Oreochromis niloticus: one gene and its partner. The protein of the gene in region 2 binds, or shares a complex with, the protein of the main gene of each other region. Links are inferred from orthologs where the notes say so. Each region holds a gene or a part of one and is shown on either strand. Other genes may lie near its edges.

Region 1 (17,150 bases), on a different chromosome or scaffold from region 2:
GATGGTTTATTGCTTTTTATTTCAAGAAACAATGACACGTCAAATACTCCAGAAATGGACCTAGATGGATTTACATACACTATATTGCCAAAAGTATTCGCTCATCTGCTTTCACAAGCATATGAACTTGAGTAACATCCCATTCTTAATCCATGGGGTTTAACATATTGGCCCACCCTTTGCACCTATAACAGCAGAGTGCATGACTAGGTACTTGATTTTATTCACCTGCTGCCATGGAAGTGATCAGAACACCTGAATTCAATGATATGGATTTGGGAGTGAACACTTTTGTGTACAATCTAACATTCACTTCCACCTCCACTTGGAGAGGGGTCCGGGTTTTCACTTCTCCCTCTGGCTCCCCCTTTTTATTTTTTACTCAACTCTTTGTCATGTTTCATGAGAGTAACTGATTACAACATTGAATTCCTTCCTCTTGAGCTTGCTGTTCCCCTTTTAGAACGATATTTATCTGATGTTCAATAGCTGGATTTCTTTCTTTCTTTCTTTTTTTTTTAAGCTAGAATTCTGTTGCAGGAAGGGAGCTGACTTAAAGTCTGGGTTGCGCAAAAGAAGACGCCACACACAACACGCTCTGTTTAGACCCAGACCAAACAATAGTGTTTGACTGATGGCCCTTAATATAAAGACTTCGGACTTTACGTTTCCCAATTTTTGCTTCAAGTTATTTTGTTATTTACATAATAATGTAAATAACCTAATAATTATCCTTATTGCAGTTTTAGAGGAGCGGTGTTTCAAAGGATAGTTGCAGATTTCTGTCAGAATCTGCAGATTATACAGTACAAATAAAATGTTCACGTTGTGTTCCCAACAGTTTCACTAACATCTACACTGGATGGCCAGGAAGCGTTCGCGATGTCCTCTCGGGCGCTTCTCCGGCGCTGATAATTGGTGTCTGTTTTGTGTCAGTGACGTAAAAAACGGATTTAATGCGACATGACCGTTCAAACAGCAGTCGCTTTCTAAAACATCGGCTATGTATCGGATTCAGTACCTCATACGAAAGTGACCCAGATCGGATTTGAAAATATCAGATTTGTGTCGTTCACACTGTCATACCATGATCGGATATGGGTCGCATAGGGTCAAAAAAATCGGATTTGATGCGCTTTCGCCTGCAGTGTGAACGTAGCCTTAGTTACCAAGGTAACAGATGCTCTGGCGGGGTTTTTCACTGAGCCCTGAGTTTCTCTCTGACTCTTCCCCTCTTGCTGAGGCAGCTCTGATTTAATTTCCTTTAATATCAAAGCATGCAACAGAGCGCATCGATGTTCATGTTGAACTTCCAGTTAAATATACATTTTTTAGCCTTTAATGTGACCGATTTGTGATTAAATAGTAATGGATGTAGAGCGCACCTTTATAATTGTATCATTAGTTATTATTAATCTCTGGTTTTCTTCAGTGTGTCATTCCCAACTGAAAGCAGCAGATGCCTGGTTCTGCTGGAGGTTTCCTTCTGTTAAAAGGGAGTTTTTCTTTCGCCCTGTTGGTCATTGGTGGGAAGTCTTGTTGTTTTTTTCTCTGTATTATTGTAGGGTCTTTACCTTACAATATAAAGCACACTGAGGTCACTGTTGTTGTGATTTGGCGCTATATAAATGAAACTGAATTGAATTGAAATACTGTATTAAAATGGAGAATCCTGGTATCAGAGCTCCACTGATGATGTCACATTTTTTCATAACCTGCAAACAAACTTAACACGAGGTTAATGTATTCAGAGTTTATCATATAAGGAGTTTAGCTCTAAACTCAACATTATTCCTGCTTTTTGAAACAGACGGCAGCCTGTAATCAGACTCAACCCAACACTTACAGAAATTTCAGCAAGTCAGTCAAACTGTAACTCTCCTGTTATCCCAACTATACCTTGCATTTAGCCGTAGTGGCCCCAGCACAGCTCCAAGAGCACACATGGGAAGCCCAGTCTGAGCAGCTTCAAACCATTTCACAGCGACTTCACCTGAACGGAAGACACAGAAAAGGACACAAACATGCAAATTAAAGATTAAATTAGGAGAAAGAAAAGGAGAAGTTGTCAGCCAACAGTTTTTTTTAAGTGTATTAAAAATAACTTCTGTGTAAACCCTATTTCTCTTCTCAGAGTTTTTGGCAGGTTTATTCTGATATAGAATCGGTCAAATAGGAGATGCCTGCAAAACTGAAAGCTCAGGTCAACACTTCATATCAAATGGACTTAAAATGTAGGTTTAGAGATTTGTAGGTTTGCAGAGACAACTGGATGAGAAAACTTGGGAGAGAAACAATGAAGTTCAAATCTCAAATCCAGTTTTGCTGTAAAACTGGAAACATTTGTTCAGACACGCACAGAATAACTCTCACTGACATATAATTAGGTATGCACTATATAAAAACAATGCATGGCTTGGCTGTGAAGTTTCTATAAATGAACTTTTACTTTGCAGATGAAAGTAAATGTCAGAAAATAGCATTTTCAGATTACACAGAACTCGACTCACCCAGCATGTTAGTGGGCATGCCCAGTAAGGTGTGCAGTAAGTCGTGGACCTCTCTGTATCTTTGCATGACATAAGCTAGCTCCTCGTTGTCCACAAACTTCACGTCTGCTCTTGAGTCAGGAGTCACATCCTGAGGGAAAAATTCAAAAACGGAAGAAGGAAGGAAGCATGTTTATATCAAACAATAAGTGTTTACAAATGCACAAAAAAACATGTACATATGCACATCACATCAGCAAATACTCACATTGTCCTCCAGAAATCTGAGGTATTCCCTCCCAAAGGAGCCGTCAGGCAGCGAAGCCATCTTTGTCAGATCGAGCGTAGACAGCCGGATCCTCGGCCTTTCTCTGCAAGATCAAATCAAATAATAATAAAGCGCAACACTAATTCCAAAAAAGCTGGGATGCTGTGTAAAATATAAATAAAAACACAATGCAATGCAAGCTTAACCATATAGAAAAGCTGAGACCAGCTGCTGGACTTTTGGATTCCAGCTGCTCAGCAGTCCTGGGTCTTCTTTGTCATATTTTCACTTTAGCATCGTCTTGCTTTCAGGCCTTCCCTGAAAAAGATATCATCTGGATGGGAGCATATGTTGCTCTAAAATCTCTATATACCTTTCAGTTGCCTGATGTTACCTTTCCAGATGTGCACTGTTGCACTCCCATACCATTAGAGAGAGATGCAGGCACCGATAACAAATTGAATAGTCACTCTCCTCTTTAGTCTTGCAGCGTCCATGTTTTCGCTCCAAAAATTCTAAATTTGGATTTTTTCTGACTACAGAACTGTTTTTGTCTTTGCCTCAATCCACTTTAAATGGATAGATTAGAGAGGACAGCAGGGTTCCTGGTTCAGATCTACATCTGGGCTCTTCTTTGCACAATAGAGCTTTAACCTGGATTTGTGGATGGCATGGTGAACTGTGTTCAAAATGATTTCTGGAAGTGTTGCAGCGCCGCCTGACAGTCCAAAGATAACAGACATCTAGTACCAATTTTGGCCTTGCCTATGCGCACAGAGATTTCTCCAGATTCTCCGACTAAACTGTTGATGATGAGCAACTCAAAGTCTTCACAATTTTACACTGAGGAACATTAACTCTGAAACTGTTCAATGACTTGTAGATGCAGTTTTCTGCAGACTGGTGAACCTCTGACAATCTTTACTTCTGAGGAATGCTGCCTCTCAAAGATGCTCTTTTTATTCCCAGTCATGTTCCTGCCATCAAATTACAAAAATGATACATTTTCTCTGTTTAAACATTTAATTTGTTTTCTATGTTCTATTGTGAATAAACTACAGGTTTATCAGATTTGCACATCACTGTATTCTGTTTTTTTTAACATTTTAAACAGCATCCTTCGAAGATCCAAATTCATTCACATTTTTTTTAAATGTGCCTGAAGCAGAAAGCACTCTGACGTTCTGCCACACTGACTCACGTTAGGACAGCGTAGCCTTCAGGGTCATTTCTCATCCTGTCCCTGAGCTTTATGAGCGCTAGGTGTCCCGTTGTCTCCCCGAGGACTGCAACCATGTCTGTAAAGTACCCAGAGTTTCATGAAATCCAAGGGCACCGAGTGCAACATCATGACAGTACAGTGAAATGTTGACGATATTTTTATTTACAGTAAAGAAACCATGTGTTTATTCTAAACAGGTCACTACTGTTTACTCATCATGGAAACAATACTCAGAAACTTCACAAACTTTTAATCAGTCTGCTTTAAAGACGGAGCTGGGAAAGACCTCTGTGCCTGTGAAAAATGCATTTTAAAAAAAATCCATTTATTTATCAATTTATTTTTGGACATGAATCGATACTAAGCAGTGAATGTCATGAGAAACCTCACTAAATGTCAGCTGACAGGTGTTAAGACTCTGTTCCTTCATTTAGGTTTCAGGGTAACTAATATGTGGCTGTAATTTGTATTTAGTCTCATTTTTGTTTCCAAGACATTTTAAGTCACGTACTAAAGGTCTCCAGAGAATAAGCCCTTGAGAATGAATACAAAACGCTTAATCAGTACATGGGAAAAGAATCTAATCAGTGGTATCATTTCTGAAAAATGGAAAACAATCCCAATCTGGAGCCACATCAAGGTCACAGACTTGTTCACATCCCTATCAGTTGGATACTGGCTGAGATCAGTTTTACCAAGAAGCCAAAAATACACTTTGCTTTTTTTTATTCTTACATATTTTTGTGCTATTTTGTTCTTTCTTTGGAGACCAAGAAGACATTATGTACAGTGAAAACACTGCCTCAAAAAAATACATGTAAATTAAGGTTAGGCTCCGATCACTGTGATTCAGACACGAAGGCAAAAAAGTTCAAATGTAAATGTTGGCACTAAATTTTATACCGTTAACTCCAACGCCACTCAGTCCAAAAACAGCTGTGCTTTAAGGTTTATCCGTGACCTTGTAAACAGCACTTTGATTAAATATCCTCATCTTAACCGATTTATAGTCTAACACACAGAAAGAAAACCAGTGCACGCAGAAATGCTTATATGAGCGTCTCACCATGTCTGTAGGGGTTCTGCAGTGCCGCCACACCTGACCCAATGGACAAGAGAGCTTTTTGAACGGCGGTGGTGGGAATATGTCCAGGGTACAGTCCATCGTAGTGGATGTTTGTAAACTCAGTGCTGCTGCTGTGCAGCTGCTGAACGCAAACTACTAAGGAAAAGATGGAGTGGCATTAAACACTGGACTATTCTATACAGACTATTGCTGTTATAACAAAAAATAACTGAACAGATTATTGATAGTGGAGTGTCTAAATACCAAAACCTTTATGGCAGGATAAACCATTCAGAGCATTTATTTGTAGTAACAGACTGCACTGCACATCAAAGTTATTAGAGTTAACTAAAACTAGATGACAGGGGAAAAAAGAAAAAAAGTTTTAATTAAGTAAAATGAAAATAAAAACTAGACTTTTGAAACAGATTAAAACTAAATGAAATGACTTTTTTGAACCTGGAAAACTGACTAAAATTACATTAAAAAATACAGAGGAAATATCCTCAGTTACTATCTGTTAGTATGGTAAATATTTTATAATAGCTTGGCTGATGAGGCATTGATGGATATGTGTATTGAGACTTTAGATGTCTTGAACAATGTGAATCAACTGCTTTCAAAAGATGTTTTTTTTTTTACTTAATTTTTATTAACACTTAAACAATTAGTCATTCGTTGTTATATTACAGTTGTCACATTTACAGTTATGGTGGCAGAATATAGCATTCACATAATTACTTTTTTATAATAACAATAATAATACTACTAATAATAATAATGATGATATGATGATGCTTAAATGTAAATAAATCTAAAAATGAAAAAGATAAATAGATAGATGGAGCAAAGGAAAAAAACACAACCATAATTAAATTAATATTTCCCACTATGTGTTTCTCTCCCTTCATTGTTCAAATAATGTAAAAATAAGTCTCCGTCTCCTCATAAACAAGTCTTTGTTCCATTTCTAATGTTCCATTAGATAGAGTTCCCAAATTCTAACTCCAACCACATATGATATGATGGAGGGTTGTGTTTCAGCCATCAGATGAGTTTTTATTGTAATACCTGCACTGATTTTCCTAAATCTTTCCTCTAATGTATGGCCTCAATGGAACAAAGATTATAGGGACTAAAAGTAACACTGAAACCAGTAAAATTAAGTATTTTCAAGCAATAAAACCTACCTGAACTCAAAGTGAAAAACTGATTAAAGTAAGTGATAAAATCAAAAACTAAAACACAAAACAATAATGACAACAATGTTGGCTCCTTCTGAAGAAGGAAGCCACAGTCCTGTCTTGTGTATGTGTTTTGGCAGAAACGTGTGCTTAATTTACGTCACATTTTGTGTCCGTACATCTGATCTGCATGAGCTCCATGAGAATAGATGGCACCAGAAACACATGGGACACAAAGATGGAGAACACTTTCATTTATATGAATTATAAATCACTGACATTCAGCACCGTTTGATGACGTGTCAAAAGATCATTCCAATGTAGGGTGAGTTACTTTCAGGTATATGTGTTGTTCGCCTGCTACAACGCCTGCTTTTTTCTAAAGAGTGATTCAGTAAACAATGATTAACATTTCCCTGATGTTAAGCTAACAGTTGCTTAACATACTGCTAAGTAACGCGTAGCCCTGTGCCTGGTGCATGCTGACAGCGAGGCTCCCACACTACTTCTTCACCAACTTACCACCAGGTTTATTTTTAAGAACACTAAGCTGTAACACAGAGGACACCTGCTTAAACTCGTACCTTTAGAAACTGTAAAGCAGTGTCGCCGCCGGTTGATCCATCGGAAGGGTATCAGCAGCCACATTCTTTTGCGGTAGTACGCATGCGTGAGTGTAGCACTTTTTTTGTGTTTCGGAGCAGCCCAAACTACGTTGAGAGGGGTGCCTTTGGGCTTCCATATAAAAACCCAGCCGTTACTGCGCCCTCGCTAGCAGCAGCTTAAAACCAAGTGCGCTTAGTGACACACCCGTAAATTATGATAAAGGGCGAGTTCTCCTTCTCTTAGTTGAGTTGCGTTTTCCCCTCGTTGAGAAACACAGGCCAGACGCCAAGGTTAGTCAGTTTGCATGCTGTGAATCCCTTCCTATAACTCACTAGCAGTTAGCTATCTGAGTAGTTGAATGTACAAGTCCTAACACCAAACACACTTTAATTTTAGCTGTTTGAAGTTTCGCAGGTGCTCATTAAAATAATTAAAGTGTATTTTACGTGCCAAAGTCTACGGTTGCTTTAAAAAAAAGCACTAGCCCAAACTCTAAAATAATACTTAAAATGATTACAGGAGCTAATCCAGTAAAATAGATGCAAAACAGCCCACATTACAGTGGCTAAGCTCTCTGGAAGCTCTCTGCTACTCTCTGCTGTTTTTATATAGCTTCCAGTGCTTACGTGGTTAAGGGTGTAGCTAAGTTACGAGGTGAAATACTGTGTCAGTGGTGGTGACGACTGTAAGATCCGCTGACAGTCTTTGCGAACTCGGTGAGTAAACATTCAGGTTTTGGCTTTTGTATGAGAAAGGGTCTGAGGCACCCTGCATTTTCACACTGAACTTGCAGTAAGTTCATCGTGAACACGCAGGGCAATAACATGGCGAGCTCAGAGGACGAGTCTCCCCAGGAAGAGGATGTTTTTTAGGCTTTGAGCAACGCTGGGTGTAGCTTTAAAGAGCAGCTGTGGTTATTTGTCTGAGACAGAAGTTGAAATGTTGAGACTGAAATTTTGTACTCTTTTTTTGTTGCTTTATTTCGTTGTTGCTGGTTGTGTTGTTCGTTTCACAGAAAAGTTTGTGCTGCTGTACATGACAAAGGTCACTTTGCAAGGTTTAGCTGTACGTAGGCCTCGTGTGTGTTACCTTTATATAACTTCACTTCTTTTTTCTGTTATTTCAATGCACAGTGTTTCATTGTCTATTTCTCTGACAAAGATGACTAGTTTCCACGCGATCCAGTGATTGCTCTGAATGGATGTTGTAATTACAACCTTTGACAGAAGTTTCTATGGACACATCTAAACACGAGCTTACATGCCTTTTCGCTCACAGCAGGTTTCCTTATCCTTTCAGTTAAGTTTTGTAAGAATGAAGTTAGGCTTGAACTTCTTACGCAATACCAGTAACAGACAAGTTACTCATGGTTTAATGTGAAAGGGGTGAGTGGCAGAAATGAATTGCTTTCAAATAAATACACATAGGAGGAAAGAGCTTCCAAAGAAAAGCAGCATTTCCTGCCTTAATATGAAATTATTAACAGTGTATTCAAATCATATATTTGTATGTGTTCTAATTCAGGGTGAGATAAGTAAAACTCTAAAAATAAACGTTTAGGAATCTAGATTTATGCCAAAGAATTTCATTTTGTTAGAAATTTCTAAGATTTAAGTAACAGTTTAGAGGTTAAATCTGTGTGAAGCACAGTTCAAATAAAAATGAAATGAAATGTTCCACTCTAAAAGCTGGATCTTTAGACAGTAAGCTCACCTTGGCTGTAGTGTGATTCATCTAACTGAATGAAGTAAAAAATCATAAAAGTTTCTAACTTAAATTCTTGTAGACGAGTTTGTAGGAAGGACACAAAGCTTCTTAATTTTTTTTGAGCTATGTGTACTTGGATTTACTTATATTATGTTTATTTATTTATTTATTGAGTGATGTATTGGAGTTGGATTGTTAACTATTTCCAGTTTCACTGTTAATACTCCCACCGAAATTAAAACAGGGGCTTTCCTCGCATATATCTTTTGATTCAACATCCACTTTCTGTGTGGTCTTACTTCCCCCCATGAAAGTTAGTCGCTTTGTTTGAAAAGGATCTAAATTGGTCTAAGGAAAAATCCACTGAAAACATGATTCAGATATGTTCTGCTTGGAGACCATGTCAGCAGAAAGTTCATTGAAAACTCGTGACCATCAGGACTTGTGCTGTTTTGTAGACACAATTTGGAATTTACCACTTTATTTCTTTGTGGGGGAAAAGCTGAGCTGTTTTGTTGGAATTGCATACATCATTCACATTTAGTTAAACATTAACATTTACTTTATGGGTGTTGTTCTGTTCAATTTAAGACCTGCTTTGACATAAGAACATAAATGGTTGAATGGTGAGACAGCACTGTTAAGCCGGGTGCCTTTTGCACACAGTTTTACCAGACTGACAACATAATGTGTTACCTTAACCCTACAAACACCACAACCTTAAACAACCATATTTTCAAGTTGTGACATGCAAAGGTGCACTTTGTCCACATTCTTTGCAGTTTTCTTTGACATGCAGGCATGTATTATATATAATTTATACACCTGTAAAACCCACTTACACATGCAGTGGGTGTGTGGAAATATATCAGTAAGAGTTGTCATCTGCTGGTTATGGGAAAAACAAACACTAAACATTCCCCACACATTTTTTTCATAAGGGAATTTTTTATATATACATATATATAAATTGCATAATACCAACAGAATAAACATTTACAAAAATCTGTGACAGAAGGGATATTTGCAAGGACAAAAGAAGCCCTGGTGCTGTTCTTTATGCAGTGGGTGAAATAACTGGCACTACATGCTATACTTTTAGTCTGAGGTAGACAATTGTAGGAACCGTGACGTGAACTGTGCCAGATGATTACTGGCAGTGATAAGTGATTAGGAAGCAGACAGTGCATAATAGTCTGGTGTCTATGAACCAGGTGGGGTGAGTTTTCTGCCAGTTGGGCATTTTCTTTATTCACTTTTTTCTTCACATATTTCAGTCTGAAATGATTTCCTACCATAAAGTACTTTACTGGGAGAATGATTTTAAACAGTTAGAATTAGTGAGGGAAGATATTGTTTAAGTGTAAATGTAAAAAATATGTTTACCATCTTCTGATTGCCAGAGTAAAACTCTTGATAATTTCTAAGACATACTGAACACAGTTAAAGGAGGTAATTTAACCAAAGACCATGAGAGTTTCCTAAATTTGGTGCCTTAACTTAACCAGGTATAAAATAATATAACTTGTAGAATATATATTCAAAAAGGGGCTTTAAGTTAATGGATTTAAAAATTGAATTCATGTAAAGCCCAGATATTGAGTACATTTAGAGTACATTTCCTATTTGGAAAGAAATTGTTGCTGGACATTATATTTTAAAATGCAAAGATATTACATGTTGAACATCAGAATTTAGTTTTGTTTTAAAGTTGAGCTGATTGTGAATTTGATGCCAGCAACATGGTTTGAAAAAGTCAAGACACAAATTGTGTAATCTGGTGAAGCATCAAACATCTGATTGGGGTAATTGGAAAACAGGCAGCAGTGTAATTGGGTCTTAGTCTTTTAGAAGTAAAGATGCAGAGGAACTGAGAACTCTGAGAGAGACTCCTTGGGAAAATTTAAGCATAACTTCAAAAGAATTTGTGAATTTCATTATCTGCTTTTAAAAAATGAAAACAGTCCAGGGGAGCTCAGGAAATTGCTGCACGGTCTCAGAAATACTTGCAGAAACAAATGATGAATCCAGTTTGTTGTTGCTGCTGTCACAAATTGCAAATTATGCATAATTACTTTATTTTTTAGAAAGTTTAACATAGAAACAAGATACAGAAACATCAAAGTGGAAAACTGCCCAGTTCAGAAATGGATAGATGGATTTATGGATGGAGCCTCCTGTAGGTTAAAAGACAAAAACGGTACCATCTAGCTTATACGTGTAGTCGTTTGTATTAGTGATCGTGGCTTGAGTGATGTGCACACCAGCGAAGTCACCATTAATGCTGAATGACATGTAGATTTTGGAGTGACACATGCTGCTATCCAAACAGCTTTTTCTCCACACAAGTTGAGCCACATTCTGCAAAGAGCAGTGGGATGCAACACATAACAAACATTTTCTGCATCGTAAAACCAAAATAATAAGTGCGTGAGAAAACGACTCAGTGATTCTTTTCGATCCCTGAATGCTTATAAATTAATAAGAAGTAATGTAAACCTTTGCTCTTCCCTTTGTACATGTTGGAGACATCAATTCATTTAAAATCTCAATTTCAGTATTTGATATATTTTCTTTGTGCCATTTTCATCAATATACAGATGAACTGATTTGCAAATTTTTTTACATTTTATACAGCATCCTAGCATTTTAACAAAGGGGTCGTATAAATATTATAACTACACACCACTCTGTATGCATTAAACTTTAAAGAACATACAGGATGATATGAGCACAAACCTGGTTAATGGTAAATTTGACTTAAGTAGCTAATGTTAAAACGATTTTAAAAATGGTCTGTCTTTCTCGTCCTTTAATTTACGCCACTGTGTATCACTGCGCAAACCTTCAGTACCCGCTATTACTTAGTTAAACTTCCTCAAGTTGAGCACATGGTGGAGCTGTGGCCAGCACCCCTATAAGTATCATTCCTGTAAGAAACCGTGACTTAAGTGATCTTTTAGTGTTAACACTTTAAAGCGAGCTTGAAACTGAAACAAAGGTAACAGAAACTATTTGTGGAGGGTGAGAAATGTTGACAACATTGCAGGAAAAGTATTTAAAGGAAAGACTCAAAATACACATGGGAAGAAAAGCTATGCTGTCTTTTGCCTGGCATCATCATTTTTTCTGTGAAGTACTAAAGATAACAGCAAAGCTCGTGTAAATGCTGCGTTTGCATTTCACACCGTATTTACTCAAGCATCAGAAAGTGAGAACTATTTTGCTGGTATTTCTCAGTAGAAAGATGCTTATCTGATTATTATCTGGAAATGCTGTACAACAAAAACAAGTTCTACATTTCAAAGTTACTCAGCTATTTGTAAGCTGGACATACAAAGAAAATTTGCAGGGGATTTTTTTTTTCAAACTGGTTTAGATACGTGTTTAAATAGATTAGGTTGTATATCCTGATGCTGCTTCTCCCACAGTTATGTTTATCCCACCATTCACAAGACTTTTTCTGGTAACTCAAAAAGAAAAAGTACCTATGTCTTCAGGTCATTTGACTTGCTGATCTTGTCGCAGCCGTTGCAGTATTAAGCAGGGTTTTCCATATTTTTGAATATTATTACCATGCTTTTCTTTTTTTGTGTGGCATTGCTGGCTGTGCCAAGACTTACACAGTAGCATGGACAAATATTTCCTCGAGGGTCATACAGATTCTCATGGTGATCTTTTAAATAGTTAAGCTTGCCAGTAGATAATTCGCTGCTAGTTTGAGTTTCTGGGTAGTTTAGATTCCATCTGTGCAGTTAGTTCCTGTTTAGTTAGTTGACAGCTGTTTCTCTGTGTTCTCATTAACAGGATATAGCAGCAGATTGATGGAGAAGAATGGCCCGTATTTCTTTGGACTGTCCCAACTCTTTACCAGGGATTCCCCTCAGTGTCCTGTCAGTGCCCATGGAAAATAAATATAAATGTCAGCAATGTCTCCAGGTCCTCAGGAAACCTGTCCAGGCTCAGTGCGGCCACCGCTTCTGTGTACACTGCTTCAAGCAGCTCACCAGGTAGACTGGAGGTCCTTAGACCAAACTGCTTACCCCGCACCTAATGTTTCCTATCTTACTGGAGATGCTTCAGCACATCCTTTCCTCATCTTTCCTCAACTCTGGGAGTTTTGTCCAGACAAGATCAGTTATTAATGCAGACTCATGCCCCACATGATGGACCTGTAATACTGATGTCTGTGAATCACAAGGATGTGGTGTTGCTGATTCATTCTAAAGGTCTTCTTTCTAAAACTTCCTTTCTGAGTCATGCACACACTGGTGAATTGTTAATGCATGAGGTGTATTTGTAATGAATACCCAATACAGTGTTTTCAGTGCCTTATGTATTCAAATTCATTACAGAGTAATCGTAATGAATATTAACGAAAAATAATACATGAGGAAAAACACTGGATTTGTAATGAATATTCACTACAAGTACAAAGAGGTGACACACCAACGTATTTGTAACGAGTATTTGTGATGTGTATTCGTTACAGATACATACATGGATACATTAATTAATTTCTAGTTGATGTCCATTTCTGTTATGTGTTATCTAATGTTTCATGAAAGTATAATTAAACAAAATGTGACAGAAAATGTGGAATTTTACCATTTAATTTTTTTTAAAACCGCCAGACTCTTTGTTAATTCCCCAAACATTTACACAACAGTACCACAAGTGCTTGTGAAATGTGTGGATTTCGCATGTGATTTGTCTGAGTGCTTTTATTTGTTTCAAAATAACCAGATCATGTACGTTATAAATTCACCATGTGATGTGACACGGACACACGTGCTCTTTGTTTATGCTTGTGTGTGTGTGTTTTGGTTATTTGTTTAATCGCCTTCAAACTTGCTAAAGCAATTTTTTTTTTATTCTTTTTTTTTCTTCTTGTCCCACTGATATGATGCTTACAAGCTTCTTTTCATTGCCCTTGCATTGATTAAATGTTCATCTGCTCGAGGTGTAATCCACACTGGTCAGCAGTTGCTCCAGTTTTGGATCAGCAGGAAATTGTTGCTGACTGTTGGCGTCGAGCAGCTGCTTTTACAGTAAAGTCACAAACCTGTCTTGTTTGGTAGTTCTGGCCCAAAGCCATGTGAAGCCTGCCGTCAAGAGGAGATATACGAGGAACCCATTTCCATTCTAAACAGCAGTGAGGTAAGCCTTTATATTTATTCAGGTTAGGTTTCAAACCCACCATCTTTGTTATGCTAGGAGTAGTCAGCATGCAATGTGTTACTGCCCTTTAGAGGAAAAAATATGACTGCAATCTGGCGGGGGTTTCCCTAACCACACAATGCATCCTACTCTTGTCTGCTTTCTTTTAAGACTGAGGGAACATTGAAGGCTTTATGAGTTCACTGATCTCTTTGTTTTTGCCCTTCCCCCCACCCCCCACCTCACAGGCTTTCCCAGACAATGCAGCAGGCCGAGAAATAGCAAGCCTGCCAGCCAGGTGTTTGAACCAGGGCTGTAACTGGACTGGATCTATTAAAGAGTATGAGGTAAAGTATGAAATCTGTCTTCTCCTGTGGCATGGGCATTGCTGCCTTTTACCTGGGTGTAGGTTTACGCTACCAAAAAAGAGCCTTGTCAGTATTTATTAATCTACGTGAGAGGTTAATCTGACCTATAATCTGCGTTCCCGGGTCACTGTGTTCCCTGAAAAAACCTCAGCTTTCACAGCACGTTCTGTACGCTATGGGCTGCGTCGCTGCAAACAGGAAGTGAAACTTAACAGGCAGCTGGAAAGTCCCAGCCTCTCCTCATTTATCAACAAAAGCTCAGTGGAAAGTACCAGAATGGAACAACCCTGTTGAGCTTAGCGTGACTGGGTTACTGACCATTAACCATAGAGCTGTTAAGGAAACTGCTTGTATTCATTCAGTTTAGCAGAAACCCAGATTTCATTGAACACAGACTGCAGTTTGTAAAACTCTATGAAAGACACGTGAAGTAAATAAAGCTGGTTAGTGTGTGTGTGCGACTGAGCCTTGTGTGTGTGTGTGTCTGTCTGCAGCTGTGTTTCTACTCTAAGCATCAGTTTTAGATGAGCTACTTAGTTTGTGTAGTAAGCAGATGGCACCATGATGCTAACGCTGTGAAAAGGATGTTTACAACAATTCTTGTCTGTTTGTGGTTTTAACTAAGCGTACCAGTGTGACCTAATCTACATCAATTTTGTGAGTGTGCGTGTGTGCATGTATGTGCGCGCGCGCGTGTGTGTTTTTCACCTGGGAAATGTTAAGATGATGATGTTTAAATGAAACCACTAGGCTAATGTGTGGGATTTGCATGGATTGGAAATGGGATCCCAAGCAATAGCATGCAGATGAATCTTCCTCTTATTAAAAAAAAAAAAAAAGAAGGCACCAAAAGATCAAAACCTGCCAACCTCTTATTGTTGCTTCACAAACTATTATTATGCTGTGTGATACACCCACTTCGCAAATACTTTTGGTCTGGTATCTTAGTCACTGTCACTGTGTGGAAAAAGCTACAAATTGCTAGCCGCACACACCCATAGCGAGGCCTTCTGAAGCTGGGAAAAAAATAGTCACATCAAGGCGTTGGAGTGTTGTGGCGAGGTCAGGGATGAGATTAGGAATCTTCTAAATGTGAGTCATGTTTATTGACGCGATCCGGTTCAAGATTTTTGAGCGTAGCAAGTCTGGAAAGTCAGCAGTCAAAGCGAAAAACAGGCTAACATACCTGAGCTTCTGCTTCTGGGTCTGCAGCGTGCCTTTGGTAGTCATTCTGAAAGACGGCAACTTCCCTGTCGATTAACCCCACCTTAAGCTCCACCCCGCCTGTGTGATTCCCGGTATTTTTAAATGGCGAATACACAGCTTTAAATATATTTCTTTAATTATTCTACTTCCACTTTTTTATTTTTGTACTTCTCTTCATTATAATTCTATTTCTATGGTACATTTTCATCCTTTTTTTTTCTATCAGATGTTTGTGGAGCTCGCTTTTTGTTTAAATTTCGTTTGCGTAGCATGTCATTCGAAAGTAAGAAAAGTGCATATTTTAATGGGGGTTGCAATGAAAAACAACTAAATATCAAAATAATCTTGATCATAATCGTGTGCACAATCATAGAACTGTATTTATCTCTTTCATACTCAGATCAGTGTATTGTGTTTTTACTTTCACTTTTTTTGTCAGTTGGAGGTGTATTTTTTTTTTTTTTAAAGAATAAAACAAAACAAAAAACCACCTGTTTTTCCACATAGAAGCTAAGGATACACCCTGTACCCACAGCACTACACCTTCATTTAAACACTTCCTGAAAAGCAGTTATTTATCAGTGATTGGGAAGGGTTTGGCCCAACTGTCAGTTTGCTCTTTCACGATGCTGAAAACCTGCTTTACACATAACAAACAGGAAGTTCGATAATAATAACGAATAAAAAATGTCTAATATTTTTAGGCTCAGCACGAAGGTCGCTGTGAATTCGAGCGGATACTGTGCGAGGGCTGCCAAACCCTTATCCTTCTCACGGAGAAGGACAGACACGATGAGAGAGAATGCGAGGCAAGAACTCTCAACTGCAAATACTGCAAGATGACCTTCAACTTCAAAGAGATAAAGGTGGGACATAGAGAGACTACACTAAAATACGCTGTTCTTTGTTTTTCTTCTTCTTTGTTGGCATTAATGGACACAAAGTGACGTTCTGCTTTACGATGCATTTCAGGCCCATGATGAGATCTGTCTGAAGTTTCCCATGCAATGCAAGGACTGTGGAAAAAAGAAGATACCAAGAGAAAAGGTTAGCACTGTTACCTTCAATGTAATCTAAGTGGTTTTAGGTCAGTACTCCCCAAAGTCTCCTTATAAGTTTCTTTTTGACTAGGAGTCCTTCACTTCCACTTTCCTGTTGATGCACTGTTTATAAATGGTCTTTTCTCTTTGTTCGTTCTGCCTTTCAGTTCAATGATCATGTGAAGTCTTGCGCCAAGTCAAAGAGCACGTGTCCATTCAGTGAAGTGGGCTGCAAGTCTATGGTAGGTGCAGTTACATAATCACCTCTCAGTGTGATCAAACTCATTTTTGTCATTGCGTTGTAGTAGTTTGGTGCTTATTTGTGGTTTAAAAAGGAGTCTAAATGTAAGTACCTTACAGTAAGGTAGTAATGTGGCTTATACTTTTGCTGTTGTAAGTAAATTATGAAGTTGGAATCAGATGAAGGAGCTGGCCTGGCTAAAGTCACAGCATCACTGTTTGGTGTTTTTACTGTTTTGTTTTCCATCAACATAAGATATAATGAGTGCCTGCTTTGTGCCTGATGTATGCAGTGAATCTGAGTAGAGCGTATGATGTAGCCTACGTAAGCAGCACATGCTGTTTCCAGTATTTATACCTGTGCAGGCTGTGTAGTTATGTGTAGTTATACTGATTATAGGGTTTCAGAAGCGTAGATTTAACAAAGAAGTCTAAAACCACTGTTAGAGGTTTAACTTCCAAAAGAGCCAGGGAGTTTCCACTAAACTAATCATCTCCCACCAGCTGCTTTGTATTTGGAGCACAGATAGATGTGAGTTATCTCGTGAAAGCTAGAATATGTTGCACACAGAAAAGATTTCGGTGGGGGTCATT
Region 2 (16,560 bases):
TCAAATTCTTGTTGCCAATTTCTGAGTCTGTGTTTCAGCAAATTCCTTTTGATACTGAGAAAAGAACCTAAACAATGCACATGATCTCCTGATGGTTTTAAATGATTGAAGAATTGACCAGAATGTGCAGACATTGTTATCTCTCTCTGTCTCTCTTATATGTATGTATATATATATATATATATATATATATATATATATATATATATGTAGCACACCATCTGTGTTTACATATGGTAGATAATTTAGATGTAGTCTATAAGGTTAAAGGTTATTAACACCAGAACTGTGACTAAGTCATCACTCGTCTTTTTATATACCAGTAATTTCATCAGCTAACATTACACTATAAAAGGAGCTTTACATATGTTGCTTTATTTAAACAGTTACACCTTGCGATAAAACTGTCAGCACTATTAATCGGGTTCAAAGATAATGTATGATGATCTACCTTTGATTTGCAAAGCTGCCTACTGTCTCATGTTTCTGATCTATAGTGGGTGACCTCCTGTGATTATGAAAGTGAATGTCATGCGTTTCCATCTTATCCTGAGATCGTGAGAATACTCCAGGCTTTGCTCACAGTAATTACTACTTGGTCACGAAAATCAAATAACATGCAGTCAATAAAGGCAAGCAGGTACAGGTAAAATGGAAAAAGAATTAGTTATAAATACAGTTCACCCTATGTATAAAGTGGCTGTAGCGAGCATTCATCCACTGTGAGCCAATTCCTTTCTTTTCTGGAGCATCGAATTAGCTTTTTTTGGTGATTCTTTGCCAGATTTAACTGTATTCGTATGAGAGGATGAAGTGCTTAGCTTGGTTCACAAAGCGCATCCAACCAGGGCTCGAATGTGATGCATTAAAAGGTCTTGCTGCAGTTCCTCAAGCAGCCACTTGAGGCTGGTTTCAAAATATGACCCTCACCCATAGACTACCAAACTAAAATAACTACCAAGAGTCAAAGAAAAAGGCACAAAGTTATACTGGTGCTTTCCTTTTACCTCGGACGTTGGAGCTGGAAATGACGTCATACCCGAGTTGACAGCGTTCCAGTAGCAGTAGTCAGAAAAACTGGCATTCAGTTTTCACTGGAATATAACACAAACACTTTTTCCCCTCCCCCCGTTAAAAACACTGCTGTAGCGCATTCATGAATACACCCTGGTTTAGTTTCTGTAAGGCTTATTTAGTGAGTCACAAACACCTAACAGTGATAATGCAGACTACAAATTATTTAACATTATTTAACCCATGAAGCAAATGTAAAGATTGACCTGCAGTCAGGCACCCACCATTAAAAAGCAGCTGAAAGTGAAATCTGCATATTTCAATATCTAATCTAACATGTGCAGGCTGAACCTCTTATGATGGCACAATCAAACTGAACATTTTACTATGACTCTGTCTGTTGTTTTTATTTTTTTATATTTATCAATTCACATACAATGAATAAATATCAGATTTTCAGTTTTTTAAATAACATTATTATCTGCTCAACCAACAAGATGATTAATACCCCCACTACTGGCCATGAGTCAGCATGTATCATATGCTCATGCTCAGAAAATGCTAAACTAGGAGAAATCAGGTTTGGGTCACAACTGAATGGACATATGGACAGAATGATACTGAGTCAGGGGGGAATGAACATTTGGCTCAAGCTGCACAACCTGATGAATATTAGGGGCCCCTGGACAAGCCTTCTTGCTCAGTGACCTAATGTACCCAGAACAGCTGTGTGAGGCTGCTTAGCAGTTAGGCCTGGATGACAAGTCATTGCTCAGCTTGATATATGAACTATTACATGTGAAACAGGAGTTGAATGGTATGGTGGTGGTAGTGGTGGTTGTGTGTGTGTGTGTGTGTGTGTGTGTGTCTGTACTTGGATTAATATGTTCTTATCATGTGTGTTTAGGGAGTCTAGCTTTTGGTCAAAGGCAGCTAAAAGTTATTAAAATATTGGTCTTTGCAGCTCTTGCCGATACGAGAAACACTGAAGCAACTTAAGGCACAATTATATGAAAAATATGTTATGTATGTGGGGGTCACTGGATACATGTACACATGGAAATATCTCAAGTCCATGAGTATCTTTATTTCACCAGTTTCTCACTTTCTCATCAACACTCTGACACTTTTCAGACAGGCAGACTGACCTTCCTGCAGCAAGCACAAAAGTAACACAACACAAAAGTAAAAATTTGCCTTCAGAAAACAGAAGCAAGACCTGACATTTATTATAGAAATGTTTGCCTCCCAGAGCCTGTGTATGTACTGTAAACAACACCCAAAGTAGGTAACACCAAGTGTCTCTATTTTAACAGATATGATCAGGTACATTGTGTTGAAGTACTTCATTTACATTTACAAAGATGCAGAGTGAGAACACAAGTCCAAATTAAGTCATTTACAAAATTGAGTCAGAATAACAAAACAATTCAGTTGCTTTAAGAACAGCGTTAGATACGTTGGGAAACGTATATTGCAGCTTTGCAACCTAACTGTATTGCATTTTTTAATAGCCAGTATCCAGGTACCTAAAACACAAGAGGAAAAACACACACACACACACACACACACAAAACACACATTTAGGCAGCAGTACTTTCAACAACTTAAAAATTGTAAAGACAGCTAAATACTCTAATGAAGCAATATTTATTTATTGTGTGAAGTCATTTTTCTAATTGATATAAAAGTTTATCAGTGCTGTCAACAAAGCAAAGGCTATTTTAAGGAATCTAAAAAATAAGATATGCAAGAGTTATTTATCATTTTTTTCTTTGCTACATAATTCCATATATCTTGCTTCATATATTTGATGTCTTCAGCATATATCTATAATGTAGAAAGTAATAAAAATAAAGAAAAAAAAACATTGAATGAGAAAGTGTGTCCAAAGTTTTGACTGGCAGTGTGTATATATTATATTTAAAGACATAAAATACACTTACATTTTCAGCATTGTGCTCCAGTCCTGTATCATGATGTTCCATCTCATCATCTCTAAATTCCTTTATCACCTGTTAAAAATATGCATGATAAAACAAATTAATTAAATACATTAATTAATTAAATTTCACTGCACAAAATTCTCAAGTTATTTGGTCTTGAGTTGGTTACATTAAACCCATTTTCTTTTCAAAGTAACTGCAAATAAATCAGTCATGAAAAGTTTTATATACCACGATCAGAAAATGTGTATCTAATAAGATCTGCTTTGTGCTGAAAAGTGCTTTGTCCCCATCTGGAAAACATCCAGAGAGTCAGTCTTGAGCTCTTGACAGTATATATGAAAAAGCCACTGGTGAAATGCCAATTTTATTCCATGTTCTATGATCTGTGAAGCTGCATTGGTGTGTGGAACTTGTCCAAATTAGAAGTTAAATAAACTTCGACCTGCATCAGTGCCCAGTAACAAATGTCAGTAGCCATTAAGTGATGTAATTGTGTAATGGCGAAAGCACTGAAGTCAAAAATGTCAAAAATCATGCTGCATAGCCTTGGAGAAATTGCCTATAAAACTGTAAAACTCTCCAAGTAAACCTGAACTGTACTGAACTGCTTAAATACACAGAAAAAATTCCACCCACAAATAGATTTAACACTGAAAGTCAACAGTGATCCAGGAAGAGAACGAGGCTGTGCCAGAGGTTTGACTGTGGCTGGCTTACATGCAAAAAAGAAAAAAAAAAGAAAATGATCCAGCTGCTAGGATTACACTTAATAATAAATGAGTGACGTAATCAACAAATACAGTTGTAATTTTTTAATAAATGCAATTAGAAATATGCACAAGCTAACTATAAAAGAACAAGACCATTTCAGACTCATATTGGGATTAATGGGATACAGACATCATTGAACTAAATTTTCCTCAAAGTTTGGTCAAACACAAATTAACGTGGCTTTATTTATTTGCTGGTCAGATAACTCTTACTTAAATGTAGTAATGTTAGTAACAGGCGATTAGTGAATAGGCACAAAGCTGTATTAACTAGCTTGACACTGAGTTTAACTGATTAATTATTATTTAGCGTGGCTTGTAACAATCACCATAATCAAAAACATTCAACATTTATTTCCATTTTGGTATGCTAGACTCTAATCCCTTTTTTTGGGAGTGGCAGGTGCCTAATATTATCGCATGTGGCACCTCTTTAGACTCAGCTGTTGCCACAATCTCATAATGAACAATATGAATTTCATGCACAGTAAAGGGCAACCACAGGGCAGAGCTACAGAGATAAGAAACTCACTTGTAACAGTTCAGTGTATCTCTCTGGGTCCTTCTCCATCAGAGTTCTTATCTGGTTGTTATAGTGTTCAGTGATACTCTCTTCCACTGCCACAGTACAGGCCATGGCCCCTTCTTTTCCCAGTAATGCAGATGATGCCCCTTCAAAAGAGAGAGATGCATGCTGTTAACATTTAATGAAGAGATTTCCTACTGCTTACTGTTTATACACTTGTTAATGACACGTCAGGGAGCCATTGTGAAATTCAATAATCATTACTCTTTGATGCATTTGTTTATCTTCTCAGCAAAATTGTGTCTTTATGTGCTGTACTGACCTAATACAAACCCAGCAATATTCCAGAAAGGTAACAGTGCTGTGGGGCGAACTCTGTTCTCAGCAAGAATTTCATTGAATTTCTCAAGGTGTTTCTTTTCTTGATCCCACATTTCCTGTAGGGGAAAAAAGCACAGTGTCAACATTTATGGACATATACTCATGATGAAAACATACGAACACTTTTAACATTTTTATAACTTTATTTATATGGAGAGGACCAAGTACGTACGCATGATTGGTTGTTATGCAAGAAAGGTAATATGTTTGTGTTGATAGAAATACATTAGATTTCTTGTTATGTCTGATCTTTCTATAAGCATATACAATTTTATAACACTGCTAACAGACTTCTTTAGGCTTTTCCTAAACCTGGTAACAACAAAGAACATGTTTGATTTACTCAAAGTCTTCTGTCACTGACATTTTTGCAGTGCATTCCATGAAAAAAAAAAAAGGGGGGGGGGGGGGGGGGGGGGGGAGTGTACAGCTGTCTACAACTTTTGAGGTGTGGAGATATGAATGTCACTTTCATTTATATTAAACGATAAATCAGGACCATGAGGCTAAAGCGCAATCTGCACACAGAAACAGCTATCCAATGCAGCAGCTAACATGAGATAAGTTCTTTCAGTGATGAGCAATAAGGCCTCTGTTAGTTTAGCCTTGATTTCTAACCATTCCTAGTTCTATATGCCATGTCTAGAGAACTGACTGTGAAGGAAAGATCTTGTGTATGTCCTCGTTAGGATAAAGATCTGTGGCAGTCAGTGGGAATTTAGACTTTTTATATGGTTAACTGGTAATCATGTGACAATTCTTCTCAGGTTGTAGAACCAGGATGTAATTTGCAGGGGAGTCTATATGTCCCTGCCTGGGCTAAATAAGTTTTATTAAAGTTTTTTTTAACTAAATAAACGAGAAATGAACTGGATTCAGAATGTTGGGAGACTCAGAAAACCCCTAGAAATTCTATTTATCAACCATGTGCCTGAGAATTAACATCAAACAACGGTGAGATCTGACTGCTGTCTGCAAGATCCTGCAGAAATCACGGGCACGGTTTACTGGCTTTACGTGATGGTGCTGCAGCTGCTGTGAAAGGCTGATGGAGAGGATCAACCCTAGTACGGGCATCTTTCACTGCATCATTCGGCTTACTTCATTTTAAATATTGTATTTAAGAGGAAGGAAGAAGAAGGAAGATTTAAATGGATTGTTACGTTCGACTGGATCGCATTTGTCCAAAGAGGCAAACATGACACTAGGAATACTGTGCATAATCATTTAATTAAAAGTAGATTTGAGTATTCTTGTAAAAGCTGAGGTTATGTTTAAATTTATAATAATTCAATAAACTTACCCACAGCAACAACTGGGGGCTGAACCCCCCTGTTATTTTATTTTTTTTAATAAATGATAATCTTGACGTGACACAGAAGTAATGAAATTATCAGTTTATTTGGTTAATACCTGAATGAATGGCCCAGTCTTCGATCTACCCAACACTGCCATCTGGCCGGCGTAGATGCGGTTGGCTCCATATTCTCCAGCATGGTCCACGCGCAGCATCCGGTGCACCATCTCCTTCTCCTCACTGTCGCGCGGGGGCGGAATTACACCGTAAGCGCGAGAGCTCTGCTGCAGAGTTAGTGCTAAAACAAAGTAAAAGACGTATGTAAAGCTCCTTCAGTCAACCGCCTTGAAGCTGAAACATTTATAATTACACGACTCTTAAGTGCCCACTATGAAGGTCACGCATTTACTTCACTTACAAACTAAGTAAATGTCAAGAGTTTGAGTTGAGAAAACTGACAATGACGAGTAATCTATCAAACATTTGATTTAGGCTACATTACGTTTACAAGTGTAGACCCAGTCTAGTGTAACACTGGGTAACACTAGTATGCACTGATAGACGTTACATACTGTGAGGGTTAGATAAGTGTTTTTAGCATGTAGCACTGTAGCTCCCAGGTGTCGCTGCTTACCTCTGCATTTTAAACACTGACGAATCATCGCTGTGCTGTTACTCTGAGACCAGTGGCAAAAAACTCTAAGTGCGGCTGTCTGCATGATAGTCCGGTAATGATTTAACTAGATGTGTAATTAAAAAAACGTAAAAAAAAAAACATGCATCAAACTGACATTGAACGCCAGTAACTGCACGTAACGGACGTCTGCTCTTCTTCTTCGTTTATTTAATTGCGGGCGCCAACTAGCGTTTAGGATGTGTTACCACCACCCACCGAGTTACTGGTTATTCTAATGTATGAAGCACAGAGATAAATTTATAGGTTTTGCTATAATTGGTTGGGTGTATTGCACAAACTAATTAGTAAAATAAACTGAGAAGTAAAAGAGGTTTCTGAACAGCCACGTTCGGGATAAAATAACATTGTTTCACTACAATGTGTCCAATAATCTTTGAGGAGTAGTGATTCTTGTGAGTTGTCCCCTCACCTCAGCCTTCGTATGACTGTTGCTCTCTAAAGAGGACTGCTGTGGTTAAAAAATAAAAATTCTGAAAATTCTTCCAAATGGCATTGAAACTAGCTTGGGTGTTTCAGGCTGTTTTTGCTGTGCATGTTATACTAAAAGAGTATGGAATACTAATATGCAGTAAATGAAAGTAGCAATACAACAGTTTTAAAATACAAGTTAAAGTCCTGCATCCCAGCCTATCTAAGCCTATCCTAGCTGATTGCCACTCCAACTCAGGGCAAATATATAGAGACAGAAAAACACTTAAATGAGCATGTCTTTGAACTGCCAGAGAAAACTGGAGTACCCGATGGAAACCTATGCAGGCACATGGAGAACATGGAAAATTCATTTAAATTCAATTTTATTTATATATTGACAAATCACAGTAACACTGCCACCTCAAGACAGTTTATATTGTAAGGTAAAGACCCTATAATAGTACAGAGGAAACCTCAACAATCTGATGACCCCCTATGAGCAAGCACTTGGCAACAGTGGTAAGGAAAAACTCCCTTGTAACAGGAAGGGAGTTCTCTGGAAGAACTGACAGAAAAGGGACAGCCACTCCACACAGAAAGGCCCCAGTTAACCAGAGGACTCAAACTCAAGATCTTTATGTTATGTGGTGACAATGCTAACCACTCGACCATGTGCTGCCCAGACTCAAACTTCTGTTTATCTGTACTAAATACTAGTTAATGCCTCAAGAAGGAAAACTTCATCATCAGAATGGCTAATTTCAGGATTTTACATGTTGTACTTTATCCCCTTGTGATTTACTCCCCATATAAGCCTGACCTATAGTTCTATAAGATGTAGTTGCACTATTGTTTAGTGTGTTTAACAGAGTGTATCTGGGCTGTTTAGGTAGCCAGTTTGAAAATAATATGTCCCTGTGTAGTTTATTTTGTTCAATCCACTGCAATACTGTTACAATGCATTTAATTTTGGAAACAAAGAACACCTTAAAAATAAGGTTTCCTTTGATCTGTCAATCATAATCTATATCTGCCTTATTTCCTTTTGAAAAATAGTTTCTATAACTGAAATAAAACCTAATTTTCTTTCAAATAAAGACCAGAGAGAAGAACATGTCAGAATAACCACTACAAAATGAGCTAAAGACCTCTGTGTTTCCTTATGTAACACTATTTCTTTTACTATTTAGTCACTTCCCAAACAATTCTTTCCCTCCTGCCCCCGTCCAAAATTATAGTGCATGTATTTTTGCATATCCAAACATGTCTCTTTGTTTGCACACAGATCAAAATATCCTTAAAGGTTCGTCACAGGATGGCATGCTTTTTAACAATCATTTTATTAAAACAATAGCGAGAACCTTAAAGAGAACTGATTTATATTAAAATTTTCTGTAATTATTTTTGTCAGTACTGGAAATCAGAAATTCTCTTGACTTTAATAAAGGTCTGGAAGCAGTGGATCATCAATGAAGCTACCTTGTCTGAAGGTTTGGTTTGTTGATTTTGAATGTGAGGCTTGCAGTCAGCATGAGCAGTTTAGAATATTTTTATTAAAATATTGCATAGCTTACAAAGATACCAGCTCATATTAAGAAAACACACTGAGCTTTGAAGTACTTTATTAAAAATCATTATACCTAAAATATTCAGCACAAAGCTGCAGGCAGTTCTTTGGTGCAAGAAGAAAGTTGCTTCGGTATGACCAGGAAGGACTCAAAGTGATCTGTTGTATAATCCTCCACTGAGTCACTAGCTGCTTATTGCTGTGCAGGTTCACAGGGTCAGCATCCTGGGCAACTAGTCACTAGCCTGTCGCAGGATTATATCACAACACAAACAAATCCACACTAAACACGTAATTTAGAGTTCAACCAGTTCACTCGGCCTACGTATCTTTGCCCTGTGGGAGGAAAACAAGTATTTAAAGAAAAAAGTAAATAGAGAAGAGAAAATTACCTTCTGGTCGCACATGCTCATTTTTTCTGCGTCAAACAAATCACGAGTTTGCCTTTTGTTTAGGCTTGTTATATAAGGGAGCAGCCGAAAGTGACACAGAATTTAAGACTAAACATTCAAGCGACAAAAATTAGGGGTTTTCAGGAGCAACTAGAGATGTTGTTGATAGTCAACAGATGGCAGTGTTGCACAGATTAAGACATTTAAGCAATCTCTGTCCTCTCCAGCTGGTCCCAGATTCCATGGCAGTTTCAACTTGTTGATATGCACTTCAGTGAGGCCTTCCCAGCATTTTTTTTTTTTTAAATTTTATTTTAAATAAAAAAAAAATAAAATTGCGAAAGTCACCGCCTTAAATCATAATAGCTGGTCTTGGCCTAACCCACCACCTGTCAATGTTATTCCCTTTCAGGATATTACTTCATACTTTTATTTAGTAAAATGTTTCCTGCTTTTGATGAGTACAAAAGAACTACTTTGACAAAGCACATAAAATAGTTGGGACAGAGGAATCTGTGGAATGATGAGGTCGGCTGCTGCATAGCTGCGATGGTCATGAGTAAACAAGGCCAGGATAGTGAATGGTGGGGTGTGTCGGTTTTGTCTGTGTGTGTGTTTGTGGTGAGACGCCCGGTTATGTGTTTCCCTATCTGTCTGTCTGACTGTGGGTGGCTACATATGTGTGGCTGCACGTCGGTAAATGTGGTTTGCCTTTGTCCTTTCTGCTGGTGTGTCGGCCATAGGTGTGAGCGAGGCTAGATTAAAGTGAGCAACTTTCCCAGGAATACAAACCCAAACAGGTCCTGGGTTGATTTTGTCATTTCTTTTTTTTAAATAGTTGAAATATAATTGTCTATATTTCTTTGTGAATTTACACTATAGCCTAAATCTGTCCTGCATTAGTATAATTTTGTGCTGATCCTTTGGAGTTGGTTACTAAGGATACAAGTTAATATCTTGTTTTATCTCGATAATGTGGGAGGGCTGATAAATAAAGCAGGTTTAGAACTGCTAGGAATGACTTCTCGAAGCTGCCTCCAAAGCCAAGTCAACTACCATAGACACCCATGTTAAAATGCCCAAAGTTACAGCCAAGTAAAGAAAATAAAACCGTTTTTAATTTTATGACTTTTATGGAGGGGTGAATTTTTATAGAAATTCACGAGTTTAAATTATATTGAGGTTTAAACTGCTGCTTAATTATGTGGCCATTTTATATCATTTTATATATCCATTTTATATCAGGTGGGTGGTATTTACTCATGTTCAGCATTCAGCTGTGTTAAAAGACAGTATATGGCGCTTTGGGGTTTATCCAGTAAATAGTTTTCTGTTAGCCCAAACTAATTCTTCCATCCACCTTCTCCCACTTATCCAGTTCAAGGTTTGGGGGCAGTGGAGGCTACCCCAGTTACTATATCGTGAGAGGTGGGGCACCCTGAACACGTTGCCAGTCTGTCACAGGGATAACACCAAGTGATACCCATTAACACATATCGCCAATTTAGAATCACCAGTTAAACCCTATGCATGTCTTTGGACTGCAGGAGGAAGGAGGAGTACCCAAAGTGAACCCACACAAACTCAGGGAGAACATGCAAACACACAGCCCCAAGCTGTGAAGTAAAGGTGTGCTGCACTGTTGTGCCACTCTCCAAATTTAGCTTCCTTTAATATCACAATATCATATTAATAACTAAGCTACACTCAGCTGATAAGTTCCACCGTCAACTACGGTCAAGTTCAGCTAAAAAAGACAAAAAAGACCTTCTTTGAATCTACAGAAGGACGTAGATACCATCTATCTGCATATGGACTATTGTTTTAGTTTGCTTGTTTATTTTCTTTGTGGCCTCTTAGGGAAAATACAAGTTGTATATTAATATGGCAACAAGACGTTACCATCTCTTGCCTGCTGGTCAATGCAAGTCAGACATTTAACTCATTTTTGCTCTATTTTTTGGTATCTTACAAATTCTGAAGCTATATTTATCTTATAGGCTCCTAAATGCACAGCACTAAAACAGCTGCCCGCTATAGTTGAAAACAACACACTACACATAGCAATCAGAGTAATCTAAAACAGCATAGCTGTGGGCCAGAGAGGTAAACAGAAGAGGTTCTTTTCATATTGCCACGTTGTTCTTACATCATGAAAATGATCTGATCCTTTATGAACACTGTTTCTTATAATTTATTATACTTATTATTACATCTTGTTAAACAGCTCTTTGGTGGAGAGTAGTACTAAAGTGCTGCAGACAATGAAGACCATAATTATTGTAGTCTAACTTTTCTGACATCTTGCACACACCTAATAAAACTGGTTTCAATCAAAGTTATACATAAAACTATATACATCAACTAAACTGTACTTCATTGTTATTACAGCATGTAAGTGATATTTGTATTCTGGTTTTCTGGGCTAGAAAACCCAGGCCAAATGTTTGCCTGGGGCAATGTAACAGAGGTGGGAGGCATCACACGATAAATCAAGTGGCTTTTAGATCATCTTTAAGCAAATGTCTGACAGATGTACATTATTATGAAGGCATAAACATTTTGTTTCACATAACAGTGCATACATGAACTAATTAACTTTCAGTTCAAAACTTCAGCTGCACAAAAGAAAGTACAGACCAATAGAAAGTTTTAAATCCTCAGGTGTGACCGATGAGGGGACTGAAAAACAAACCACAGAGCAGGAGAAGAGTAAAACTGTCTTTTATGTGCACCTGTATGTATGTGTGTCTCTTTGCGTAGTGTGTACATGCATCCAAGGATGTGTGTGAGTCTGCACACCCTCGCTCTGAGGCTCTGGTCAGACGGTGCATAACTGTGGTTGGACGCAGGCTAAGCGCCTCTAGACTACAGTGAGTCAACAATGTCTGCTCTCAGCAAGAGGAGACATGATAGGTCTTGTCTCATTTGGTCCCTCACTCGTGCGGTGGGACTCCCAAAATGTGTGTGTGTGTACGCATGACTTTAAAGTCAAATTAGCTATTTACTCAGATGTAGAATATATGACAGCAGAATGCGTCAGTGTCTGTGTTTACATAAGTTATGTTGTACATGATGCCCCTTTAAAAAAAGATGAATTTGGACAAAGGTTTTTAGAGAAGGGCCAAATTAAGGAAAATTCTGAAGCCTAAGCATTAACTGTTCCCTTTCCTTTATGAACCTTCTCCTCAGTAGGTAGTATAATACCTTGAACCTTCTTTCTTATGCTTTTTCCTGGTTGGTAGCCCATTTTAAGCACAGCTTCTGCCCAATTCTCAATGACCAATTTAGTGTGCTTTAGTGTGCTCCCAGTGTGATATCCTATCACAGCTAGACACCCTGTGACCCATAACTGGGCAACTATAAGAAAATGGACAGATGGATGGATAGATGGAATTCATTAATTAACTTAACCTAACCCTAACCTTAATTGTCACCTAAATTAAAGAGCAAGTTTATCTGTTGGGGCAGATATTGTGTACTGTAAAAGATGCTGCTTAATTTGATGTGATATGTGTCAAGGGGTTCCATCGTATATCAAATCAAAATAAGGCAGATACAGATTAAAAACTGTTTGACAAATAAATGGTTGCTGGTTTGATTCCAGCTGGAGACACAAACTCCTTTGGGGGTATCTGATGTACCTGTTGTGGTTATCTCTTGTGACAAGGGAGCAGCCAAGCGTAGCTTTTTTAGATTTGTGTGATTTACCTCCACTCAAAACTGGAAAAAAAACCATATTGAATTATTTCAAAACATTTGTACTTTTGGATAAATCCAGTAATCTGTAAAGTTCATGTTCCTAAGTATCTGATCTGTGTGGATTAGTTTACTAAAATCAATTAATTCTTTTAATTCAGTTTTACTCATTAGATTTACTTTTTGTTCAAAACAACATGTAACTTAAGGTGGTTTATAGTGTAAGGTAATGTGCTTAATGTATTAGAGCAAGAACACCAAAGATCGGACAATTATGACTTACTTAAGAAGAAGAACTGCCTTTCAACAGCAAGAGACCACCTGCAGAACCACGGTCAGGGAGATACAGCCATCTGCCATGACCAGATAAGAGGAAAAGAGAAGATAGAGAAGAGGAACGGTACTGTATGTCAGTGACGGTTGCAGACTGTCAGTGTAATTCTTCTTGTGACCGTTTTATTCTTTAGAAAGTTGAACTCCAGTGTTTGAACTTTCCAGGTTGGTGGTTGCATCTACATGCCTTGTCTGGTTGCCCAGCCTGGCATTACACAGATACAAACTGTCAATGGAAAATTGTACTTAGTAGTCAGTATAAGCTTTTAATGACATAAGTTTACTTGTGATAGAATGCTGCATGATGATCTTTTTGTTGCTTAGAACTGATTGTTCTTTATGAAACGTGTTCTGATATTTGTATCTGAATCTTTCCACAGCGATAGTAAGAAGTTGAACAAGCAGTTCTGACCTTGCACACACACACACACACACACACATACACACACAATCACATATGCACATGCTCATGTCACTGAACGAATGTATTAATTCCTGTTGTATAAATAAAGAAAGCAGACGGTGACAGAGCGCGAGTCCGTGAGTGTCTCCTGCGAATACGAGCGCTCTGTGACCGTCCTCGCGAGTAAAGAAAACTGCAGTGTTTGTGTTTTCTAACTCAGGTGTCTTAGCTGAAGAACTGCGGGGTGATTTTTAGAAATCCCCTGTCACAAACACAAGTGAATTTCCAAGAAATCAAGAGTGACATAACATAGCTGATGTAATACAGGGTTATACATTGTTATTTACGGGCATAACTCTTATGTCACTAAAAAAAAATCACTGGAAAGTTTGAATATCTGCTGACTACACAAAGGACTACATATCATTCAAAATAAACACACTGCTTTCATGCAGCTTTTAATTTAGAAATCATCTGAGGCCTTCTTCCACGCACTACAGTCTGTATTTGTCTTGCGGTAATGGCGTTAAAACCGTAAAATGTGAATAACGCTCTAATCTCACTGTCTTTCATACTTACTGAGCAATGGATGTTTAAAATATGATAGATGAAAATGCAAAATAGAAAGTCCAAATATAGTTTCTAGACAGTGATGCAGGATTCATTATGTGGTGTAGAAGCATATACACAATGCTCCACTTCTCCACATCAGTTATGCGTATTGCATAACATTGTTTGTAAAGCATCATTTCTCCTCCTACTCAAACAGAACAGTTTCATCAAAATAGATGAAAATGCAATAAACACAGTCCCAGTGACGTGAAATTGAAAGAAAGCACATACAGTTTAAGGTAAGTTGTTCATTTCTATGCATAATGCAGAGCGGAACTAATACTTGTACAAGAAGATCATGCTGTAGGCTTTTTAAAACTGGACATTTAAAAAGAAAATCCTAACACTAGAAGCCCTGTAGTGGCTTTTCTTAACATATTGGGCAAATTTCCTCAATATTATATATTCTGAATTTTCATAATCTAATATAAAATCACAATTTGCGATGGGTTTTTTTTTTAATGATATTTTCATTTCGCATGTAAAAAGCTTTTGCATATTTTGCATATATTTTAGATTTATTTACTACAAATTTATTACATACTTTCCATTTTCTTCTTTCCTTTTAATGTAGTAATCCCACTCATAGATAGATAGATAGATAGATAGATAGATAGATAGATAGATAGATAGAGTAACTCAAAATTGTTGTAAGTGGTGCTATGTCAGTGTGCCTCTGTCAGTGCGCCCCAGGGTGGCTGTGGCTACAACGTAGCTTGCCATCACCAGTGTGTGAATGTGTGTGTGAATGGGTGGATGACTGGATGTGTAAAGCGCTTAGGGGTCCTTAGGGACTAGTAAAGCGCTATACAAATACAGGCCATTTACCATTTATGTTGGTCTTATTGCTTTTGTCTTGATCTTTTTTTATTGTGTTCACTCACACACACTGTATTGTGTGTCAGTTTTTTTCATTGTTAATTGTATTGAGTGTGTAACAAAGTCCACATAAAAGACAAGACATGAGCTGTTGATGTTGATTCCAAAGCAGCCTGCAAGGTAAGGTGTAGTCTTCTACAACACCTCCTTAAAAACCAAGGTGAAAGGTCAAAGTGCAAAGTGCAAAATCACTGCCCTTAGATGGCCTTTAGAGTTGTGGTTTTAACGCCTACTGTTGTGCATGTCACATTGGTTTTATTTATGATCTTCGAGAAGAGTTGTTAATGGTCACAAATATAGTCTGGTCTGTCCTTAGCATTGTAAATTCTTTAAAAGTACGGTATTCTCCCTGAAAACAACACTTAGTCATCCCAGATTGTTGCAAAAGTAGGTTGAGAAATAAATTAAAGTTATGCAACTTTGTTTTAAAAAGCCAACCCTTTTAGGGTTTGGTGGTATTCCTCTGGAAAAGGCAAGATGTCTCATAAAACAAAAAGAGATTCATTTTCTGATTCAAATTCACCAAGTCTCCTAAAATCCCTTCTAATCCTTTTTATAGATATACAAAATTACAACCAGAGGAAAGTGATTTCTCTTCTATTATTGAATTGTTTACACTTGAAAAACTATCTTGTGCACCATGCAGACCTAAATCACACTCTAAACCGCCTGTTTTCATGGACACTAGAGAGTGTATTTAGCGTCGTCTGGTACAAGTTAAATGGCCCTTGTCTGTCTGGCAGTATTCCTTCTGTGATTTTTTTTTATACACTGAAGGGATAAGAGAAAATATTTAAATGTGTTTTTCACCGTCGGAAAATCGAAAATATATGCATGTTCAGGCAGTCATCATCAAACCAGGGATTTATGAGTGAATCAGTCACATAATAACCACTGTTTATGATAAGAAGCCAATGGAGACACATTCATTTGCTACCCGACACAAGACTATTTCAAGAAGGCACATAAACAAACCCAGGAGTCAAAAGTACACCCTTTAACAAATTAGATTTTAGATTTACCTCAAGGGCAAGCTCAGACACAGAGGCTAGTTTATATAAAAGGGGTGTGTTCACTTTGAGAATTACCCAGGAAAGGTGATGCATTTGAGAAAGAAGATCCACCAGAGACTTCAGATAGAGCCATAACAGTTTTCCAGTTTTCACACATTGTGGACGATAGGCTAAAGAATTCAGGGAAACAATCCAGTTAATAAAGGGTGTGGTGAGAAGCCTGCGTTTATGAAACCTGTCATTTTACTAGAATTTCCAGTTAGCCACAGGATGTGGCTCACATTGCTTTGCCATCCCAAGAGTTGCTGTCCTATATGGCTTTCCGGAAGACTGTTATGTTTGTACTTACTGATTTACAGAGTGCAAACTGCAGGTTACCAGTGCATGAGTTCATAATAGAACAAATAGTACTGCAACAGGAAGCTGTATTATGAGCACCGCTGTTGAGATTTGGATATATCATGTGGGGAGATATATGATTGACTGCTCTTTTTCCCATGACTGAAGACAAACGTGAGAAAGTGCTAATGGAAAGTATTAATACGCGGAAATAATACTATTGCTCATAAATACTTTGGCATGTTTTGATGTGGCTTGTTGTTACAGCAGAAAAACAT

Evidence for each region.
Region 1: coq7 (region 2) and coq4 share a complex: the UniProt entries of both Homo sapiens proteins name them as parts of the multi-subunit COQ enzyme complex. The link is inferred for Oreochromis niloticus from reciprocal best matches to the Homo sapiens genes COQ7 and COQ4.

The regions. Positions count from the first base shown.
Region 1 is NC_031972.2:20,608,010-20,625,159, reverse strand, and holds the start of coq4 (ubiquinone biosynthesis protein COQ4 homolog, mitochondrial), read right to left. Parts: upstream 6,945-17,150; 5' UTR 6,878-6,944; coding exon 6,814-6,877; intron 5,202-6,813; coding exon 5,046-5,201; intron 4,056-5,045; coding exon 3,959-4,055; intron 2,861-3,958; coding exon 2,758-2,860; intron 2,641-2,757; coding exon 2,511-2,640; intron 1,994-2,510; coding exon 1,900-1,993; intron 1-1,899. Other genes in the region: traf2b (TNF receptor-associated factor 2), read left to right, coding at 12,377-12,552, 13,624-13,702, 13,951-14,049, 15,981-16,142, 16,249-16,323, 16,484-16,558. UniProt on the Homo sapiens protein: Lyase that catalyzes the C1-decarboxylation of 4-hydroxy-3-methoxy-5-(all-trans-decaprenyl)benzoic acid into 2-methoxy-6-(all-trans-decaprenyl)phenol during ubiquinone biosynthesis.
Region 2 is NC_031971.2:33,875,781-33,892,340, forward strand, and holds coq7 (NADPH-dependent 3-demethoxyubiquinone 3-hydroxylase, mitochondrial), read right to left. Parts: upstream 6,812-16,560; 5' UTR 6,657-6,811; coding exon 6,572-6,656; intron 6,236-6,571; coding exon 6,054-6,235; intron 4,697-6,053; coding exon 4,582-4,696; intron 4,406-4,581; coding exon 4,266-4,405; intron 3,030-4,265; coding exon 2,961-3,029; intron 2,544-2,960; coding exon 2,466-2,543; 3' UTR 965-2,465; downstream 1-964. UniProt on the Homo sapiens protein: Catalyzes the hydroxylation of the 5-methoxy-2-methyl-3-(all-trans-polyprenyl)benzoquinone at the C6 position and participates in the biosynthesis of ubiquinone.